2 linked regions of the Anolis sagrei genome follow. The protein of the gene in region 1 binds, or shares a complex with, the protein of each later gene. Links are inferred from orthologs where the notes say so. Each region holds a gene or a part of one and is shown in the gene's direction. Other genes may lie near its edges.

Evidence for each region. Proteins that work in one complex are often made in the same cells at the same time.
Region 2: the proteins of SDCBP (region 1) and SDC4 are in contact, whole or in part, in a crystal structure (PDB 8BLV), measured with the Homo sapiens proteins. The link is inferred for Anolis sagrei from reciprocal best matches to the Homo sapiens genes SDCBP and SDC4. Residues at the interface, in NP_001007068.1 of Homo sapiens: Gly207, His208, Val209, Gly210, Phe211, Ile212, Phe213, Lys214, Thr219, Val222, Asp251, Ser252, Ala255, Leu258; in NP_002990.2 of Homo sapiens: Thr193, Asn194, Glu195, Phe196, Tyr197, Ala198.

Annotation. Positions count from the first base shown.
Region 1 is NC_090024.1:48,693,880-48,703,970, reverse strand, and holds the start of SDCBP (syntenin-1), read left to right. Parts: upstream 1-5,524; 5' UTR 5,525-5,635; intron 5,636-7,989; 5' UTR 7,990-8,047; intron 8,048-10,091. UniProt on the Homo sapiens protein: Multifunctional adapter protein involved in diverse array of functions including trafficking of transmembrane proteins, neuro and immunomodulation, exosome biogenesis, and tumorigenesis.
Region 2 is NC_090024.1:217,020,916-217,030,863, forward strand, and holds the start of SDC4 (syndecan-4), read left to right. Parts: upstream 1-5,044; 5' UTR 5,045-5,216; intron 5,217-5,246; 5' UTR 5,247-5,272; coding exon 5,273-5,344; intron 5,345-9,948. UniProt on the Homo sapiens protein: Cell surface proteoglycan which regulates exosome biogenesis in concert with SDCBP and PDCD6IP.

The DNA of each region.
Region 1 (10,091 bases):
CACAGCTGGCTATTTCCCACTCATTCTTAAGTTGTCATGCTCACAGGAATTGTACTTTCTCTGCCTTTGGAAAGACTTGTCCACTGTGTGTGTGTGTGTGTGGGGGGGGGGGGGGTTGTAGGCATTTCACAACCACCTAATCTGATTAAAAAAACATAATTTTTCACCATGCAGAAAAAGCAGTTCTTTCTTTGTCCCTCAAGCACTGACTACACATTGATTTTGGTTTCTATGGCAAGGCTTTACTGCCCTTTTGTGGTTAGTTCTGAGCATTCCCATCAGCCCCACATCGGGCCAGCTACAACTCCCATCAGCCCTACTTTATCAGGCTACAATTTCCATCAGCTCCAGGTCTGGGTAGGGTGCAACTTGTCATTATCCTCTTAACTGGTCAGATGGCTTGGCCCTTTTGTTGGGCTGCAGCTCCCATCATCCCCAGCTTGACTATCAAAGGAGTAAGGATGTTGGAAGATACAGTCTGGCAATATTTATTTTATTTATCGTGTCAGGGGCAACCAGACAATTATATTACATTTCTAACAGAACAGAACAAACAGACAAAACACAAAAACACATTCTGGAGTGAGAGAATCAGCCGTCTACGAAGATGTTGCCCAGGGGACGCCCAGATGTCTTGCAATCCTGTGAGGAGGCTTCTCTCATGTCTGGCAATTAGACTGAGCCATCTGATAAATTTGGATGAGATTATTTACTCTTCATTCCCCATAGCATCATTACTGCTGTTACCCATTTAATTCCTTACACTGAGTTAATAAGTATGCAACTAAAAGTGAAGAATAAATATTTTTGAAGCTCAAATTTTGGAATTACTTAAACTCCTCCTTTTCCTTCAAAGACATCTTGACATGCCTTGAATTCACTTTTGAGCAGGTAAAAGAGTTCAAATGTGGTTTCCTCACAACCTGCAAAGTCTCCAGAGGTATCAATTATGAAATAGAATACATTAATAAAGAATAGGGACTGAAATTAAGAAGGCTTCATAAACAAAGGAGACTAGATTTAGAACTGCACAGGAAAAAGAAAAGATGCAAACTGCATCAAATTAAAATCTATGAACATATGATTAAACAATTCTAAAACTAAAGAACATCTAAATCATAACACAAATGTGCCTGTGCAGATCGCCAGTGTCCCACAAAACAACAAGGAGCCTTAAGTTGAATCTACACTGTCAAATGAATAGTTTGGCACCACTTTAACTGCCATGTCTTAAATGCTATGTAATCCTAAAAGTTGTAGTTTTACAGGGTGTTTAATCTGTGAAAGACTGTTGGTACCTCACTAAACTACAACTCCTATGATTCCCTAGCATCAGGCCCGTAGCCAGGATTTTGATTCGGGGGGGGGGGGGGGTTCTGGGTGAAAGAGGGTCTACCCTAGCAAACCTTTTGTATTGTTACTCCAATACCCCCATACATCTGGGATATATTTATTTATTTATTTATTTATTTACTTTGCTTATATACCGCTATATCTCAAGCCCGAAGGCGACTCACGGCGGTTCACAAACAGTAAAAACAGTAGAAACAGCAGTGGTTCCATACAACATATAACAATTGACTTAACACATTATCCATAAATTACCAATAAGCAATTACAATGCACAATTATTACAAAAAACAACCGTACCCAATCTTCTCATCATCCAAGCGTAGTCCAGGTTCGTCGTCCATTGTTCCATTCCTATGTTCCAATTACCAGATTGCACTAAATTACTCAAATGCCTGCACAAACATCCAGGTCTTCACCTTTTTGCGGAATACCATTAGAGATGGTGCTAGTCTAATGTCCGTAGGAAGGGCGTTCCACAGCCGAGGAGCCACCACCGAGAAGGCCCTATCTCTCGTCCCCGCCAGCCGAGCTTGAGAAGCAGGCGGGATCGAGAGCAGGGTCTCCCCGGAAGATCTCAAACTCCTCGTGGGTTCATAGGCAGAGATGCGGTCAGATAGGTAGCTAGGGCCGGAACCGTTTAGGGCTTTAAAGGCCAACGCCAGCACTTTGAATTCAGCCCGGTAGCAGATCGGTAGCCAGTGGAGTTGGCGCAACTGGGGGGTTGTATGCTCCCTGCGCTCCGCTCCTGTTAAAATCATGGCTGCCGAGCGTTGGACTAGTTGAGAATATTGAGAATGATGATCAGATCATGATATTAATAAACATAACAGTTTAAATAATGTACCAGTAAGGCCTTCTCGCGGACCACCATGAGAATTTCGGGGGGGGGGGGGCTGAAGCCCCCATAGCCCCCCCCCCCCGGCTACATGCCTGCCTAGCATAGAGCCATGGGCGCTAAAGTGGTGTCAAACTGCATTGTTAATTCACTGTCAGGCCCCGTCTAGAAGCCTTTGATGAAGATACTTAGCTGTAATGACAGGAAGGTAAACTTTTATTGAGCTGTCCTACGTTTATCATCTTTCTATTGAGTTACCTGTAATAACTGTATTGGATAAATGTTTTTAAATATGTTTACTTATCTTTATTGTAAATTGTTTTTAGAAGTTTTGTTTTACGTATGTATATTGTTTCGTATTGCTTTAACATAATGTTGTGAGCCACTTTGGATCCTGTTTAAGGATTAAAGTGGGATACAAATAATTAATTATTATTATTGATACAAAAACACAGTATGTCACAACCAACGAGAGATATATGCTGGAAGTCGTATCACAAAATCACAAGTCAAACACTTTCCAAGCGCCTAGGACTGTGTGATGTGTTTTCAAATGATGCGTGTAGATCCAAGTAAGGTGGCCTTTTGCAGCTGACAGATCGTCATTTTGTCAATGTTTATTGTTTCCAAATGCCAGCTGAGATCTTTTGGCACGGCACCCAGTGTGCCGATCACCACTGGGACCACCTGTACTGGTCTATGCCAGAGCCTTTGCAGTTCGATTTTGAGGTCCTGATAATGGCTGAGTTTTTCTTGTTGTTTCTCCTCAATGCGACTGTCACCTGGTGTGGCAACATCAATAATCCAAACTTTTTTCTTTTCCACAGTCATGATGTCTGGCATATTGTGTTCCAAAACTTTGTCAGTTTGGATTCAGAAGTCCCTCAGTATTTTTGCGTGCTCATTTTCCACGACCTTTGCAGGTTTATGATCCCACCAATTATTTATTTATTTATTTTATTATTTGAACGTATATGCCGCCACTCCCCTGGGGCTCGGAGCGGCTTACAAGAACAGGCTAAAATTGAACACAATTTAAAAACAATTTAAAACAATTTAAAAACAGCAATCAAAGATCAAAGGCCCGTCGAAACAGATATGTCTTACATGCCCTGCGGAAAGCTGATAAGTCCCGCAAGGCACGGACTTCAGTTGGCAGAGTATTCCAATGTGATGGTGTCACTGCAGTAAAGGCTCTGCGTCTGGTTGCTGTTAGACGCAAGGTCTTGACACTGGGAATTTCCAAGAAATCTTTACTACTGGCAGGTGGTACTTGTGACATAAGTTCCAATCATCATCATCATCATCGACAATATAGTGGTTTCATAAAACAGTTTAATTGCATTGAACAGCATTATATGAGTCTACACTACCATATAATGCAGTTCAGTGCAATTAAACTCTACTATCTGGTCAGTGTAGATGGGGCCTCTGAATCATTCTATAATTCAATAACAGACATGCCATGATGCGATTGTGAAATAATGTGCCTCATATCTGAAAAAAAAACTGTGAAGATTTAATTTTTCTTAAACAGGGCTGCGTTGTGCAAATCAATTTGAATCAACTGTGGGGTTTGCTGAAAATCTGCAACACCAAGAAATCAGCTGCTTAGACACCAGAACTCAACTGTTTTTCACAGTAAACAAAATATGAGGAACACAGCTGTTTGTCATGAGACAAGTTGGGAGAAGTGAATACAAACACATTATAGTATTTTCCTCTTCAGCAAACTTTCAGAGGTAAATGTTCTTCAAAATATTATAAAATGTGATCAAAGAACCACATTGCTTTGAAGTTCCCTCTCATATAAATGTACCTTGATGGAAAAAAAAGAGTAACCCAATTTAATATATGGAACTAGTTCATACATTCCTGTAGCAGAAATCAAGTGACAACCTGCATATATGAAAAAGCCATCGCTGAACAGTTATTATGCACACTCAAGATTTTACAATTTTTAAAAAATCTGTTTTTAACTGGTTAATGAGGGGTGAATAGTGAAGTGCCGAGATTTGCTGATAATGCAAAATCATTAGCTGTTAAAACAAAACTAGATTGCAGGTTACTTTTTCAAACTGGGGAAACAAGGAGTAAAATGACTCACTGGGGCAAAAAAAACCCCAAACAAAACAAAACCAAAACAAAACAATTCAGGAAATGTGATGACTACCTCAACAAAAAATGTTGATCAGAGATACTGTGATGGTCAATACAGGCCCTCTAGGTGTTTTGGACTTCAACTCCCAGAATTCCTAACAGCCCCTTTCCCCCATCAGCCACTTAAGTGAAAAGGAAAGGGCCTGAAGCTGTTAGGAATTCTGGGAGTTGAAGTCCAAAACACCTGGAGGGCCCAAGTTTGCCCATGCCTGGTCAATACCATGTTGAAACTCATTAGAAAAGTGATGGGAAATCTCAGAGTTGTAGTTTGGCGAGGTACCACCACTCTTTGGCAGAGGAGGCTCAAGGCCTTGTAAAACTACAACTCATGTGATTCCATAGCATCAAGTCATGGCAGTTAAAGTGCCATCAAACTGCATTATTTCTACAGTGTAGATGTGCCCTAATGAGAAAGGCTCCCTGGTTTCAGTTCAGCACATGGCCCTCTCCATGTTGTTTTTTTTCCCTGGGGTGGAACACCCATCACCTTTGCTGAGTTGTTGGGAACTGGGCGAAACTATGATAGCTGGAACCCAATGCTGAGACAGCGCAGCAAGTGAGAGATGCAGGTGTGACAGAGTCGTGGCAAGATAGCTTGCCAGAAAGGGGGGAGGGCAGAAACGGGGGCAGAAAGGGGGGGAACGGACAGCCGAGCATAGTGCTTAAGGCTATCCGGATATCATATGCAAACACATTCAAATATGTTATATCTTCGCTTCTCTAATTCTGACCCGTGACATGCAACCAGCATTGGATCCCAGATATCATACTTTTCGTGAACCACCATGAGAATTTCGGGGGGGGGGGGGGGGGCTGAAGCCCCTCAAGCCCCCCCCCCCCCGCTACATGTCTGCCTCAAGAAAAAGACAAGGTGATTTGGTATGCCCATACCACCAAGTGGTATCATCAAAGTGGTATCATCTGCATATCTAAGGTTGTTAATGTTTCTTGCAGCATTTTTTACCCCAGCTTGCCCATACCTGATCAATAGTACAGAGGCCCTTGTGGTCTCTTCCAACTTAAGGATTATATGAACAGAAGTTTCCCAGCCCTTCTCAGAAAGAGAGTGGAGGCGGCTCCCACCAGCCAGCCTTGACTCCTCCCGCGCTTTCCCTTCTGTCCCTTCACCCACGGTCACGAGCCTTCCCGGGGGCAGGCGTCTGCGCATGCGCGGAGGTCTCTCCCTCCCTATCTCCCTCCCTCCCTGGCAGTTCCTCCTGGAAGCACCTCCGCCTTCGAGTCGTCGCCTAACGGGCTGAGGAGAGGAGTCGTCGCCAAGGCCGCTCGGTGAGAACGACTTGAAGCAAAAACCGTGTTTGTGTGAGAGGGAGAGAGGGAGGGAGGCCGGGGCCTGGGGTGGATCAAGGGCCGTGGGGTTGGGGTGGGAGAGGCGCCTTCTTTCTCCCTCAGAAAAGGAGGCCTAGTTCCTCGGACCCTCCTCAAATAGAAGCGACGCCTCCGTAGCCCGCACATTTGTGATTTTGTGGGGATTGTTTGTCACCTGAGGAAGAAAAGTGTGTGTGTTTGTGTGTGGGCACCCCTTGATTTGTATGGCTGCTGTTGCTCCTTGTCTCGGTCTGAGGCGAGACGTGTCTGAAGAGAAGGGGAGGGTCGTCTGAGTCTGGGAGAGAAAGGGAGAGCGCCTGAAGCCCCCTCCCCAACACACACACACACACAAGACGTTTGGCAGCGAGAGGGGTTTACTCACCTCCCCCGCCCTCTTCCTACTCCATCCTCTCCCTCCCCTCCTCTTCTTTCTCCTCTTGCTGCTCCTCGTACTCCCCCTTCTCTCTAATATTCATCTGTTCTTCTCCACCTCTTCTTCTTTCTCCTCTCTCTCTCCTCTTCTTTCTTCTCTTCCTCCTCGTACTCCTCTCTTTCTTAATTTTCATCTTTTCTTCACCTCTGCTTCTTTCTCCTTCTCTCTCTCTCTCGTCTTCTTTTTTCTCTTCCTCCTCCTACTCCCTCTCTTTTCTAATTTTCATCTGTCCTCCTGCTTCTCCCCCTCCTCTTTCTCCTTCCCTTCCTCCTGTACTACTCCTCTCCAATTTTCATCTGCCCTCCTCCTTCTCTGCCTCTTTCTCCTCTTCCTTTTCCTTCCCTCTTTCTCTTCTTCCCCCTTCTCTTCTTTCTCATTCTTTCTCCTTCTCTCCCTCCTTTCTCCTCCTCTTGCTCCTTGTACTCTCCCTCTCTAATTTTCATCTGTCCTCCTTCTTCTCCCTCTCCTCTTTCTCCTTCTCTTTCTCCTCCTTCCCCTCTTCTTTCTCTTCCTGCCCCTCCTTGTACTCCCCTTCTCTAATTTTCACATGTCCTCCTTCTTCTCCCCCTTCTCTTTCTCCTCCTCCTCCTGTTCTTTCTCTTCCTCTGCCCCTTCCTCCTCCTTTCTCCTTCTCTTCCTCGTACTCCCCCTCTCTAATTTTCATCTGTTCTCGTTCTTCTCCACCTCCTCTTTCTCCTTCTCTTTCTCCTCCTTCCCCACTTCTTTCTCTTCCTCTCCCCCTTCCTCCATTTCTTCTTCCTCCTCATATCCCCATCCTAATTTTCTCCCCTCCTCTTTCTCCTCCTTCACCTCTTCTTTCTCTTACTTTCTCCTTCTCCCTTCCTCCCTTTCTCTCTCATTTTGTTCCTCCTCGTACTCCTCTTCCTTTCTCACTTTCATCTGTCCTCCTTTCTTTCCAGCCTCTTTCTCCTTCTCTTCTTCCTCCTCTTCCTCCCCATTCTCTCTCAAATTTTCATAAGTTTTCCTCTTTTTCCCTTCTCCTGCTCTTCCACCCTTCTTTTCTTCCCCCCCCCCTCTTCCTCTCTCTCTTCCTCTGCTTTCTCATTCCCCTTCTTCACTCCCTCCTTTCTCCTTCTCCCCCCTCCTCCTCCTACTTGGGACAGAGGCCCAGATTGAGCAGGGAGGGAAGGAGGAGAGGCAAGCAAAAGCTTTGCCAGTTCCCTTTTTCCTTGAAATAGGTTCTTGGTTGGTGGGGGAGAGAAGCACTGAGAGGCTTTGATTCCTCAGAGGAGTCACAAATGGAGGAGGAGGAGGCATCCATTTTCAGTTTTGTTACAGGATGTTTGCTGAAAGGTGGGAGAAGGAAGTTGTTGGTTTTTCTGCGTGACGTGATGTCTTTTCCATTGCTGCGGGTGTGTGTACTTTAGATGTTACTAGGAGTTGCCTGTTTTGGTTTTTAAAACCACAAACCAAGAGAGATAAAATTGGGGTGTATTGGTTGCTGCCTTGATTCCAACTATGTCTTAATATATACATTCTCTGTCATCTCTGTGTGTACATGTGACCATATGGTGGTTGCTAGCTATCCTAGAATTGACTTTACTTTTGGCAACCCTGTGCATGGGACAATCCCGCCTTCAATCTATATTAAGTGGTCAGTTGAGACATTCCCTCAAGTCAACAGACCTGTTCAGGTCTCACATGGTCCATCCTAACTTTTGTATTTAATAATATTAGATGACTACTGAGGGTAAATTCAGTAAGTTCTATGTTTTTGTTTGCAATAAAGTCTACTGGGTTCTGTAAGGCTGAATGGCTAGTAAAGGTGTTCAGTACTACATCCATGTTTTCAATTTCAGTGTAAAATCTGGATGAGAAAATATAGTGATATTGTATTATTTTGTGTTCTGTTTTACAATAGATTACAGTATTTTGTTTCTGAAGAGCCATCTAATTCCCCATCAGAGTTTCCAAAACATGTGAGTCACTAGTATTACCAGAATTTGTTGAGATAATTGTTTGACAAACTGTTTTAGCTCGAAATCCCCCTTCCCGGTTTTGGGAAGTTGATGCTGTTTCATACATAGTTTTACATACCTTTATTATTTTCTCTTGCTATTTTCTAAGCTAAAATATTACGTTGACTTATAGTGAGGCTTCCTCAGGTCACTAGCTATTGGCTGGCTATTTTCTATGTTTTCATCTGCTCTGCAATACACAGAGGAGTTTCAGTTTGTGTTAAAGTTGGTCTCCTAGACTTTTATTGTAACTGACGTAAGGAACTGGGTAACAACAAAGATGGCCATTTCAGTTATCTCACCACAAGTGACTGTTGATACTGTTACCCACTAGCAAAGTGTACTTTTTCCTATTGTAACCCTTTCATTCAGTGATAACAAGACTGCAGTTACTTTTCCCATTCCTCCAGCTTAGGAAGGTAACACTGTCCAGTCGCTTTATGGCAAAGCTGCATCTCAGCTCAACTCACCTTTCTCACACACTCACCTCTGTTTCACTCCACTTCTCAGGTGTGCTGAGAGAGCTATGCATTCTGGTTGTGAGTAATGTAAATTGAACTCACCTGTATGTCTTAAGATATGATGACCCAAATTCAGTAGCTTATTATAGGCGTTGAAGCAGCATAGAACTGTACAAAAGATTGATATTTGTGGCTTCAGTTTTTTTCCCAAACAGATCCCACCATACAGGAATTCCTTTTGCTTAAACATATGCATTGAGCAATATACCATCATAATTTTCCTAGCAATTCACTTTCATTGCGAAGTCATTTCCTTTCACTGTATATGTGATATTAGAATTGAGCATGTGTGTCTTTCAGTATCACCTTACATTTGTTTAGAATGAATTGCCTTTGCTATTTTAGTACCCATTTCCCTAGTTTGGAACTTTGTAATTTCATTTGTTTCAATTTGCTTAAACAATTTTGATTTAGTCAGCTTTACCATCTCATTTCTTAGCCTTATTTCCACTGCATTTTTTAACATGATAGCAAAAGCCAATTTCAGTACTGCCCTGGCGTCCCCTGGGCAACGTCCTTGCAGACGGCCAATTCTCTCACACCAGAAACAACTTGCAGTTTCTCAAGTCGCTCCTCACATGACAAAAAAAAAAAAAGTACTGGCCTACGGGAAATCTGATTTTTGTAGTATATCATTGCAAGATGTGTCCATGTATTCTTACTCCCTGTGTTTTGTATAACCAGTTACTGGTCCAAAATATAATGTCTTCTCTCATGACTACTATATTTGATCAGCTTTGATGAGGTCACTATTTGAATCTTGTGGCTTGTTTTCATTTTTGTCAGCAGAGTCTAGAATTTCATAACTTGTCACCACTGTTTGTTTCTGTTTGTCGCTTTCCTGAGAATATCAGATGAAGCAATGGATATGTGATATACGGCATATCATAGGAAGTGAAGAAAGATAAATTTCTCTGCAGTCTCATTGATTTCCTTTAGTGCTTTTTAAACTAATCATCCAGTCACTCTTATACTCTTTTAACTATTTTTCCAGTTCATTTGAATTGCCTCCCTTCTTCTGCCATTTGCATGTATATGTATATGTGGTATACAAGCATTCCCAAAGTTATGAACAAGATAGGTTCTTCAGTTGAGTGTGTTTGTAAGTTGGAACAGGTATATTTTAAGTGTAACTCCATCCAAAGATAGATAGATAGATTGAATAGCATGGGGAAAGCTTAACATCCCTAATGCATTAGTTTTGTTTTCAGAAGATTTCACCTCACTTTATGTCCCTGTGATAATTGGATTTTGAAAAAAAAAATGGCTTGTTGTGGAAACAAGTATTGGGTGAGAAAGCTTCTGTGGCGATACCCTTTCCCCATGATAACTCTTTCAGGAGTGAATTTCTCTTCCTAGGGTAGATTGCTCTCACTTCCTGCTGTCTTACCCATGTTCTTAACTATGAGTCCTTTGTAAGTCAGATGTTTGTAACTCAGGGACTACCTGTATATATATTATGTCTGTATGTATGTGTGTATGTA
Region 2 (9,948 bases), about 170 Mb from region 1:
ATGAGCACCACACCCCAGAGTCAGACATGACTGGACTTAATGTCAGGGGACTACCTTTACCTTTACCTTACATATAATATTGATCCTAATATTAGAATGTAAGACATTATAATACTGATAATAATACAATATAATAATATAATAATTATATTGCTAATAATATTGCAGTATAGTGGTATGATACAATTCAGTAATTTATAATACTAATATTGTGCTAGGCTAATATAATATATTGTATGTATGTATATGTATGTGTGTATATATATATATATATATATATATATATATATATATATATATACATATGTGTGTGTGTGTGTTTGTGTGTAACTTTTTAGTGGCTCTGAGCCCCCTTCGGGGTGAGAGAGGGCAGGGTATAAATATAGTAGATAAATAAATAAATAAATGGTAGTCAGAGTCTCACTTAGAAAAAGGAACAATAGTCTTTTCAAAAACTTAGACTGAAAACAGCATGGCTTTGGAACAGTGTTACAATGTGTTCACAGTGGGTTGTCCAAACCATGAAAGTGTCTCTTGTGAGTTACAACCAGCTTGTTATAAGTAATGCTGAAAAGCCCAGAGAGTCTAAACCGGTGCTTCTCAGGTTCCCAGTATAACAGGCAGTCTGATGTGTTGACCCAACATTTCTTCCTCATATATGCCAGGGACTGAGATATTTATCTCCACTGGCTACAGTTCTTTTCTGGAAATTCTCCAAGGACTAGCAGATGAAGGCTTGTGACCAGCAGTGCTACATGGACCACCACTTCAAGTAGTTCAGTTCGAATCTGTGTCACAGTCTGGTCTTCGGCCCTGGAGGGAGCCACTCTTTTTCTAGGCTTATTCTCATTGCTAAGATTGCTATAAGGATTCATCCTAAAATATCCTAAAAGAGATCACAACACAGGGATGCCACTTATGTACAAATCCCAAACTGGGAACTTCTGGTATATGTCTGTTCCCCTTTCAAGCTTGAAACAGTATAACTTGCACAGGATGCCCCAAAAGGACAGCTGCCTTGGGCCAAAACTAACAAGATGAAGTTCAACAGGGACATATGCAAGATACTCCTCTTAGGCAGACAAAAATGAAATGCAAAGATACAGAATGGGCGCCTGGCTCGGCAGCAGTACGTGTGAAATAGATCTTGGAGTCCTCATGTACAACAAGTTAAAAAATGAGACAACAATGTCATGCAGTGGCAAAAAAAAGCCAATAGGATTTTGGCCTGCGAGACGTGTCTAGATCCAGGGAAGTCATGCTAACCCTCTATTCTGCCTTGGTCAGACCACACCTGGAATCACACTGTGTCCAGTTCTTGGCACCACAACTGAAGGGAGATGTTGACAAGCGGGAATGGGTCCAGAGGAGGGAGACTAAAACAATCAAGGGTCTGGAGAACAAGCCCTGTGGGGTCCAACTGAAAGAGCTGGGCATGATTAGACTGCAGAAGAGAAGGCTGAGGGGAGACATGATGATGGCCATGTATCAAGACGTGAGGGGAAGTCATAGGGAGGAGAGAGCAAGTTTGTTTTCTGCTGCCCTGGAGACTAGGACATGGAACAATGGCTTCAAACTACAGGAAAGGAGATGCCACCTGAACACAAGGAAGAACTTCCTAACTGTGAGTGCTGTTCAGCAGTGGAACTCTCTGCCCCTGAGTGTGGTGGAGGCTCCTTCTTTGGAGGCTTTTAAACAGAGGCTGGATAACCATCTGTGAGGGGTGCTTTGAATGTGATTTTCCTGCTTCTTGGCAGGGGTTGGATTGGATGGCCTGTGAGGTCTCTTCCTCTATGATTTTATAAGGAGGCCTGCAGCAAATGCAAATGCAGCAAATGCTGCCCTTTGCACATGGGTTCTGTTTCTCTCTCTTTAATAACTTTATTTTTTATACCCCGCCCCCATCTCCCCGAAGGGACTCGGGGCAGCCCTGATAACAGAAATTAAAACATAGCACACCAGAGTCATCAACAGCAAATTAAAATAACAACTACAACATACAAAATATAAAACCGGTGTCAAAACCAAGAGCAATAGCAATAACATGGTCAAGTCTTGACATGAGTGGGTGGCCTGGTGTTCAACAAATCAGAGGACAGGACAGATGGGACAGCAGGAAGGCTGGCAGAAGTCAACAGGTAAAACTTCCCCTATTGTAGCATAATGATATATGCTACAGCTTCCACTGGTTTCACTAGCCAGGAACCACTCTGGAAAATCTCCATGAATCCAATCGGGGAATCTAACCACTGGCCACACTGAGCTTGTTGTTGTTTATTTGTTCAGTTGCTTCTGACTCTTCGTGACCTCATGGACCAACCCATGCCAGAGCTCCTGGTTGGCCGTCGCCACCCTCAGCTCCTTCAAGGTCAATCCAGTCACTTCACTCCATCTTGCCCTTGATCAGCCCCTCTTCCTTTTTCCTTCCATTTTCCCCAGCATCATTGTTTTCTCCAAGCTTTTCTGTCTTCTCTATGTGACCAGAGTACTTCATCTTTGCCTCTAATATCCTTCCCTTCAATGAGCAGTCAGCTTTATTTCCTGAAGTATGGACTGGTTGGATCTTTTGGCGGTCCAAGGCACTCTCAGAATTTTCCTCCAGCACTACAGCTCAAAAGTGTCTATTTTCCTTTGCTCAGCCTTCCTTATGGTCCAGCTCTCACATCCATAGGTTACTACAGGGAATACCATTGTTTTAATTATGTGGATCTTCACTGCCAGTGTGATGTCTCTACACTTCACTATTGGTCATTGCTCTCCTCTCAAGAAGTAAACGTCTTCTGATTTCCTGTCTGCAATCTGCGTCTGCAGTAGTCTTTGCACCTAGAAATAAAAGTCTGTCTTGCCTCCACATTTTCTCCCTCTATTTGCCAGTTATCCATCAGTCCAGTTGCCATAATCTTGAGGGTTTTTTATGTTTAACTGCAACCCAGCTTTTGCACTTTCTTCTTTCACCTTGCTTAGAAGGCTCCTCAGCTCCTCCTCGCTTTCAGCCATCAAAGTGGTACCATCTAAGGTTGCATATCTAAGGTTGTTAATGTTTTGTCCAGCAATTTTAACTCCAGCCTTGGATTCGTCAACAATGTGTTCTGAATACACATTGAATTGATTGGGTGAGAATATACAGCCCTGCCGTACTCCTTTCCGCAGATATATAAATCTCATTTTCCTAGTTTCCAACAGACTTCACAACTTCCGAAGATGCCTGCCTGGGTTGTTGGTTTTTTGGGCTATATGGCCATGTTCTAGAAGCATTCTTTTCTGATGCTTTGTCTGCATCTATGGCAGGCATCCTTAGAGGTTGTGAGGTCTGTTGGAAACTAGGAAAATTGAATTTATACATCTGTGGAGTGTCCAGGGTGGGAGAAAGAACTCTTGTCTGTTGAAGGTAGACGTGAATGTTTCAACTGGCCACCTTGATTAGCATTTGATGGCCTGGCAGTTTTTAGATATAGCTTGTTACTGCCTGGGGGAATCCTTTGTTGAGAAGTAATTAGCTGTCCCTGGTTGTTTCTTGTCTAGAGTTCCTCTATGTTGGAGTGTTGTTCTTTATTTGATGTTATAATTTTAGAGGGGCTGAGGCTGTTAGGAATGGTGGGAGTTGGGTGATAGTATGACAGCTCGGTCCGGAAGCACCAAGTGTTACAGAGATGCCGCAAAGGTGGCTGTGAATAAGGGAAGAGAGGGGGTGGAGTGAGAACGAGGAGAGCGAAGGAAGGATAGAAAGGAGGAGATGCTTATGGTAAGGGTTAGGGCAAAGTTTAGGGTTTGGGTTTGGGTTAGGATTTGGGGTTACAGTTAGGGTATGGTTTAGGATTAGGGTAAGGTTTAGGGTTTGGGTTAGCGAAAGGGTTTGGGTAAGGGTTAGTGTAAGGGCTTGGGTAAGGTTTAGGGTTTGGGTTAGGGTAAGGGTTTGGGTAAGGTTCAGGGTTTGGGTTTGCATAAGGGTTAGGGTAAGGGTTAGGGTAAGGGTTTGGGTAAGGTTCAGGGTTTGAGTTTGCATAAGGGTTAGGGTAAGGGTTTGGGTAAGGTTTAGGGTTTGGGTAAGGATTAGGGTAAGGGTTTGGGTAGGGTTAGGGTAAGGGTTAGGGTAAGGTTTAGGCAGGCCCGTAGCCAGGATTTCATTTGGGGGGGGGGGGCTGAGTCTGAGTGAAAGCAAACCTTTTGTATCATTACCCCAATACCCCCATGCATATGGGATATATTGAGTATGGTGATCAGATCATGATATGAATAAACATAACAGTTTAAATAATGCACCAGTAAGGCCTTTTCGCAAACCACCATAAGAATTTGGGGGGGGGGGGGCTGAAGCCCCTCAAGCCCCCCAACCCCCCCGCCCCCAGCTACATGCCTGGGTTTAGGGTTTGGGGTGGGTAAGGATTTGGATAAGGTTTAGGGTTTGGATTAGGGTAAGGGTTTAGGTAAGGGTTAGGGTAAGGTTTAGGGTTTGGGTTAGGGTTTGAGTTAGCGTAGGGGTAAGGGTTAGGGTAAGGGTTTGGATAAGGTTTAGGGTTTGGGTTAGCATAAGGGTTAGGGTTAGGGTTTGAGTAGGCGTAAGGGTTAGGGTTAGGGTAAGGGTTTGGATAAGGTTTGGATAAGGTTTAGGGTTTGGGTTAGCATAAGGGTTAGGGTTAGGGTTTGAGTTAGCGTAGGCGTAAGGGTTAGGGTTAGGGTAAGGGTTTGGATAAGGTTTAGGGTTTGGGTTAGCATAAGGGTTAGGGTAAGGGTTTGGGTAAGGTTTAGGGTTTGGGTTAGCGTAAGGGTTTGGGTTTGATTAGGGTAAGGGGTGAGGCTTAGGCTTAGGGTATGGGTTTGGGTGTCACCATTAAAGAACTCTTACATTCCTTCTATATTATCTGTCTCCCTCCTGGTTTACATTAGCTAAGTCTCTCTTCCGTAAACTGCGTTCCCGAAGGCGCGATGCGGCATCGCTTCTGACCCAGCTATCATACTATTGCCGGGAGTTGGGAGTCCAGAACACCTGGAGGGCCGAAGTTTGCCCAGGCCCGCGAGGCCCGTGTTTGGAGGCAAGAGCCCTCCGAAGGGCCGGCCTGCGCCCCCTCGAGGGCGGCGGCGGGAAGGCCACGCGCGGGGCCTCCTCCCCCTCCGCCTCTTCCTCCTCCTCCTCCTCCATTATAAGAAGGCTGCGCGGCGGCGAAGGCAGGACCGTCGTGCCCGCGCTGCCCAGGCTGTTTGCTTTTCCTCGCGCGCCGTCTCTCTCTCTCTCTCTCTCTCTCTCTCTCTCTCTCTCTCTCCCTCCGCCATCGCCATGCAGCCCTTGCGCTTCGCCGCCTCGCTCCTCCTGGCGCTGCTCCTGGTCTCAGCCACCACGGGGGAATCGGTGAGTTGGAGGGTCCCCGAGGCAGGGGCAACTGGGGTGGGATCGGGGAGCCCTGGGATCCCTTTGGAGGGCGGCCTTCCAAGGCAGCGAGGAGGGGGATCCTGCCTTCGCCCTCCTTGGCCAGAACTTTGGGAAGAACTCTCTTGGGCGGACTTGGGCAGAGTCTCCCAAATCTGTGCGCCTGTCTTTCTCCCTTCGTCCAGCCTTTTAAGGCCTGTCGCGAAGAAGAGGTCGCGTTCTCCTATTCCATAACATTGAGAAGTCCCGTGTCCCCACTCAAGCACTTCCCCCGTCCTGCCAGGCCCCGCGGGAGGGCGAGGGAAGGGCTTGGAAGGGTCTGCTCCTGCCTCCCTGCCTTCCTCCCTCTCTCTCTCGCGGGAAGCCCGGCGCATTCCTCTCCCCCCGGGCTCGCTCTCCTTCCTTTCTTCCCTCCCTCCCTCCCTCCCTCGATTCCCTCGGCTCTCCTTCCCGACTTGAGTCGGGAACTCTTCCCCGCTGGACCTGGCCGCCGAGGAGCGCCCTTTTCGCCCCAAACGAGCCTTCCTTGCCTTCGTGTCCTTCCTCCCCCTTCTCTCTCTCTCCCTCCCTCCCTTTCCGACTCCTGACGTCCCCAAATTCCAACGCAAGGGGCCCGGGAACGTGCCTTCTCGAGCCCGCACTTCCTCCCGCTCATAGCTGCGCCATGAGTAACCAACCAACCAACCAACCGCTGACCCCAAGGCTGCCTCTGTTGCAATGCCCTCGCGTCACTCAGGAGACAGCCTTGCCGTGGAAACCCCACGTTGCAAACCTTTCAAGTCTGGAATGGAGTGACTCTGGGTTGTTGTGTGTTTTCCGGGCTGTATGGCCACGTGCCAGAAGCATTCTCTCCTGTGGCAGACATCCTCAGAGGTTGTGAGACCTCACAACCTCTGAAGATGCTTGCCATAGATGCAGGCGAAACGTCAGGAGAGAATGCTTCTGGCACGTGGCCATATAGCCCGAAAAACCTACAACCCACTTGTGAGGTCTGTTGGAAACTAGGAAGATGGGGATTTATATACCTGTGGAGTGTCCAGGTGGGAGAAAGAAACATTCCTACTTACCTCCAACAGATAAGAGTTCCTTCTCCCACCCTGGACACTCCACAGATCTATAAAACCCCATTTTCCCAACAAATAATTCCCCCCAAACAGCAACCAGCCAGGTTTTGAAGCTGCAAGGTCATCCAGTACTAAGCAAGGTGGCCAATTGCAACATTCACACTTGCCTCAAGCAGACAAGAATTTTTTTTCTCCCACCCTGGACACTCCACAGATCTATAAAACCCAATTTTCCGAACAAATAATTCCCCAGGCAGCAACCAGCCAGGCTTTGAAGCTGAAAGGTCATTCAGTGCTAATCAAGGTGGCCAATTTCAACATTCACACTTGCCTTGAGCAGACAACAGTTCTTTTTCCCACCCTGGACACTCCACAGATCTATAAAACCCCATTTTCCCAACAAATAATTTCCCCAGGCATCAACTAGCCAGGCTTTGAAGCTGAAAGGCCATTCAGTGCTAATCAAGGTGGCCAGTTGCAACATTCACGCTTCCCTCAAGCAGACAAGAGTTCTTTCCCCCACCCTGGACACTCCAAAGATATATAAAACCCCATCTTCCTAGTTTCCAACAGAGCTCACAACCTCTGAGGATGCCTGCCATAGATGTGGGCGAAACATCAGGGGAGAATGCTTCTAGAACATGGCTGTACAGCCGGAAAACTTACAACCACACAGTAAGTGCACATTTGTGTTGAACTTTTTCATCAGCAGTTCCCAATAGGTAATGTCAATAGGTTTGAGAAAAACAAAACAACAACAAAATATTTTCCTCCAATACAGCTGCAAATATAGCAAAGCCAAATTAATACAGAAATCTGATAAGTTGACAGCCACTCCCACTGACATTCAGGCAAGAATAAATCAGGGCCAGCTAATGCCTCCCAACAAAGGATTTCTCCAGGCAGCCACCAGCCAGGCTTTGAAGCTTGCAAGGCCATTCAATGCTAATCAAGGTGGTCAATTGCAACATTCACACCTCTCTTAAAGAGACAAGAGTTTTTTCGCCCACCCTGGACATTTCACAGATATATAAACCCCACTTGCCCAGCTTCCAACAGACCTCACAACCTCTGAGGATACCTGCCATAGATGCAGGCGAAAAGTCAGGAGATAATGCTTCTGGAACATGGCCATTCAGCTCAAAATACCTACAACAACTCAGAGATTCCCGCTGCCTTCCCTTCTCTTGCTTCCCTGCCAAGCCTCCTCTCCTCCTCGCACACCTTTCAGTTGTTTGTACAGGTAGGGCTTTCGGTGGTAAACACCCTTTGCCTGGCGACCTTTGACCAAGCCCAACAGTCTTGCCTTGCAATGTGTTGTTGATCTAAAGCAGTGGTTCTCAACCTTCCTAATGCCACAACCCCTTAATACAGTTCCTCATGTTGTGGTGACCCTCAACCATTATTTTTGTTGCTACTTCATAACTGTAATTTTGCTACTGTTATGAATCGTGATGTAAATATCTGAGATGCAGGATGTATTTTCATTTACTGGACCAAATTTGGCACATATACCCAATACGTCTAAATTTCAATATGGGTGGAATTGGGTGGGGGGTGTATTGATTTTGTCATTTGGGTGTTGTAGTTGCTTGGATTTATAGTTCACCTACAATCAAAGAGCATTGTGAACCCCACCAATGATGGAATTGAACCAAACTTGGCACACAGAATCCCCATGACCAAAGGAAATACTGTGTTTTCTGATGGTCTTTGGCGACTCCTGACACACCCTTGTGACCACCCCAGGGGTCGCGACTCTCGGGTTGAGTAACACTGATCTAAAGCCTACAGAGAGCCAGGAGGGGTGGGAAACTTTGAAATCCCACTGCTTTCAGGCTTATTTATTTGAAAAATGCTGGCAGGAGGGGTTATCCTAGCTGTAGAATGGGAGAAAGTCAAGAAAAAGTCTACCCCAGAGATTGTTTTGATGTCCCAGAAGCTTTAATAAGAGCCTTCTGTCTCCTCCTTGAGTTCGGAAGTGTGGAATTTGAGCAAAAGGGTTTGTGCAAGAGGGGGAAGGCTTGACATTTAAGGCCTCCTCTCCTTGGCTCCTTTCACATCTGCCTATGGCCCCTTCTGCATTGCCAACAATTCCATGCAGTTAAACTTCATTATATGAGCCCACACTGACCATATAATACAGTTTGAATCTGCGTTTTAGATGGCAGCATAGATTGGGCCTGCGTTGCTTTCTTGCCAGTCCAAATTTACTTTACTCAGACTACACAGAGAAGCCACTAAAATCCACAAGCATGTGGACAATTTCAACAGAAAGGAGTAAATGATGAAAATGAACAAAATCTGGCTAACAGTATTTCAAAAAACTCCAAAATCAGGACAGTAAATAAAGAGCCACACTCAAAAAGCAGGGGAATTCCAGACAAGAATAAATTGGGGACAGCTAACACCTCCCAACAAAGCAGGAAGCAGCCAGGCTTTGAAGCTGCAAGGCCATTCAATTCTAATAAAAGTGGCCATTTGCAACATTCACTCTTACCTCCAACAGACTAGAGTTCTTTCTTCCATCATGGACATTCCACAAAGATATAAACCCCACCTGCCTAGTTTCCAAAAGACCCCTCAACCTCTGAGGATGCCTGTGGTGAAACGTCAGGAGAGAATGGCATACAGCCCAGAAAACTCCCAGCAACCCAAATTTACTTTTTCACATTTGCTTTTGTTCTGAGCTTTCGTTTGTAAAAGGGATGGTTTTACGAACCGTCTCTCTTACGTGGTTTCATTTGGATGTGGAAGGGAGAACAGTCGTCACTCCCATCCAGTCTTTTAACACTTGTTACTTGGAAACTTTTCTTGCTTAGTTCTTCTGTTTAGTGGCATAGCTCTTACATAGAAAAAAATAAGCTGGAATGAACTGCTTCTTTTTCTCTTTTGTGTTCATGAACTCATTTTCTCTCTGGAGCAATAAGGTATTGTTCTCTTGTTGCAGATTGCAACAGAAGCTAGTTAACCAATGACTAAACAAACCCCCTTGGGATGCACATTCCTGACTTGATGGCCTTGAGTGAGTGAGTCTGAGGAAATCTCTAGATTTCAGGATAATTTGGAAAACAGCCTTTATCAGCAGCTTTCTTTATAATCAGGGACTGGTCACTATCTGTAAGACATTCCTGAAATCCTGTCATCAGTCAGGAGTGCTGTTGATGTGCTCATTGAGTCTTATCAAGGCATCTGCCTGGCTTCAGGCTTTTCACAGAAGACCTATGTGCTTGTCCTCCTGAAGTGGATGTCGAGACATAGGAACATTTTCTCTTTCTTGAAGCTGACCCAGGGAGCAAGTGTTGGCACCCCACTCCAGTTATTTTGGAGCATATTTAGTAGGGCTTTTAAATACTTTACATTACCGTATATACTTGACTATAAGCTGACCCAAATATAAGCTGAGGCACCTAATTTTATGACAAAAACAGGGAAACATATTAACTCAAGTATAAGCCAAGGGTTGAAAATACAGCAACTACTGATATATTTCAAAATAAAAATAGATACCAATACAACTGC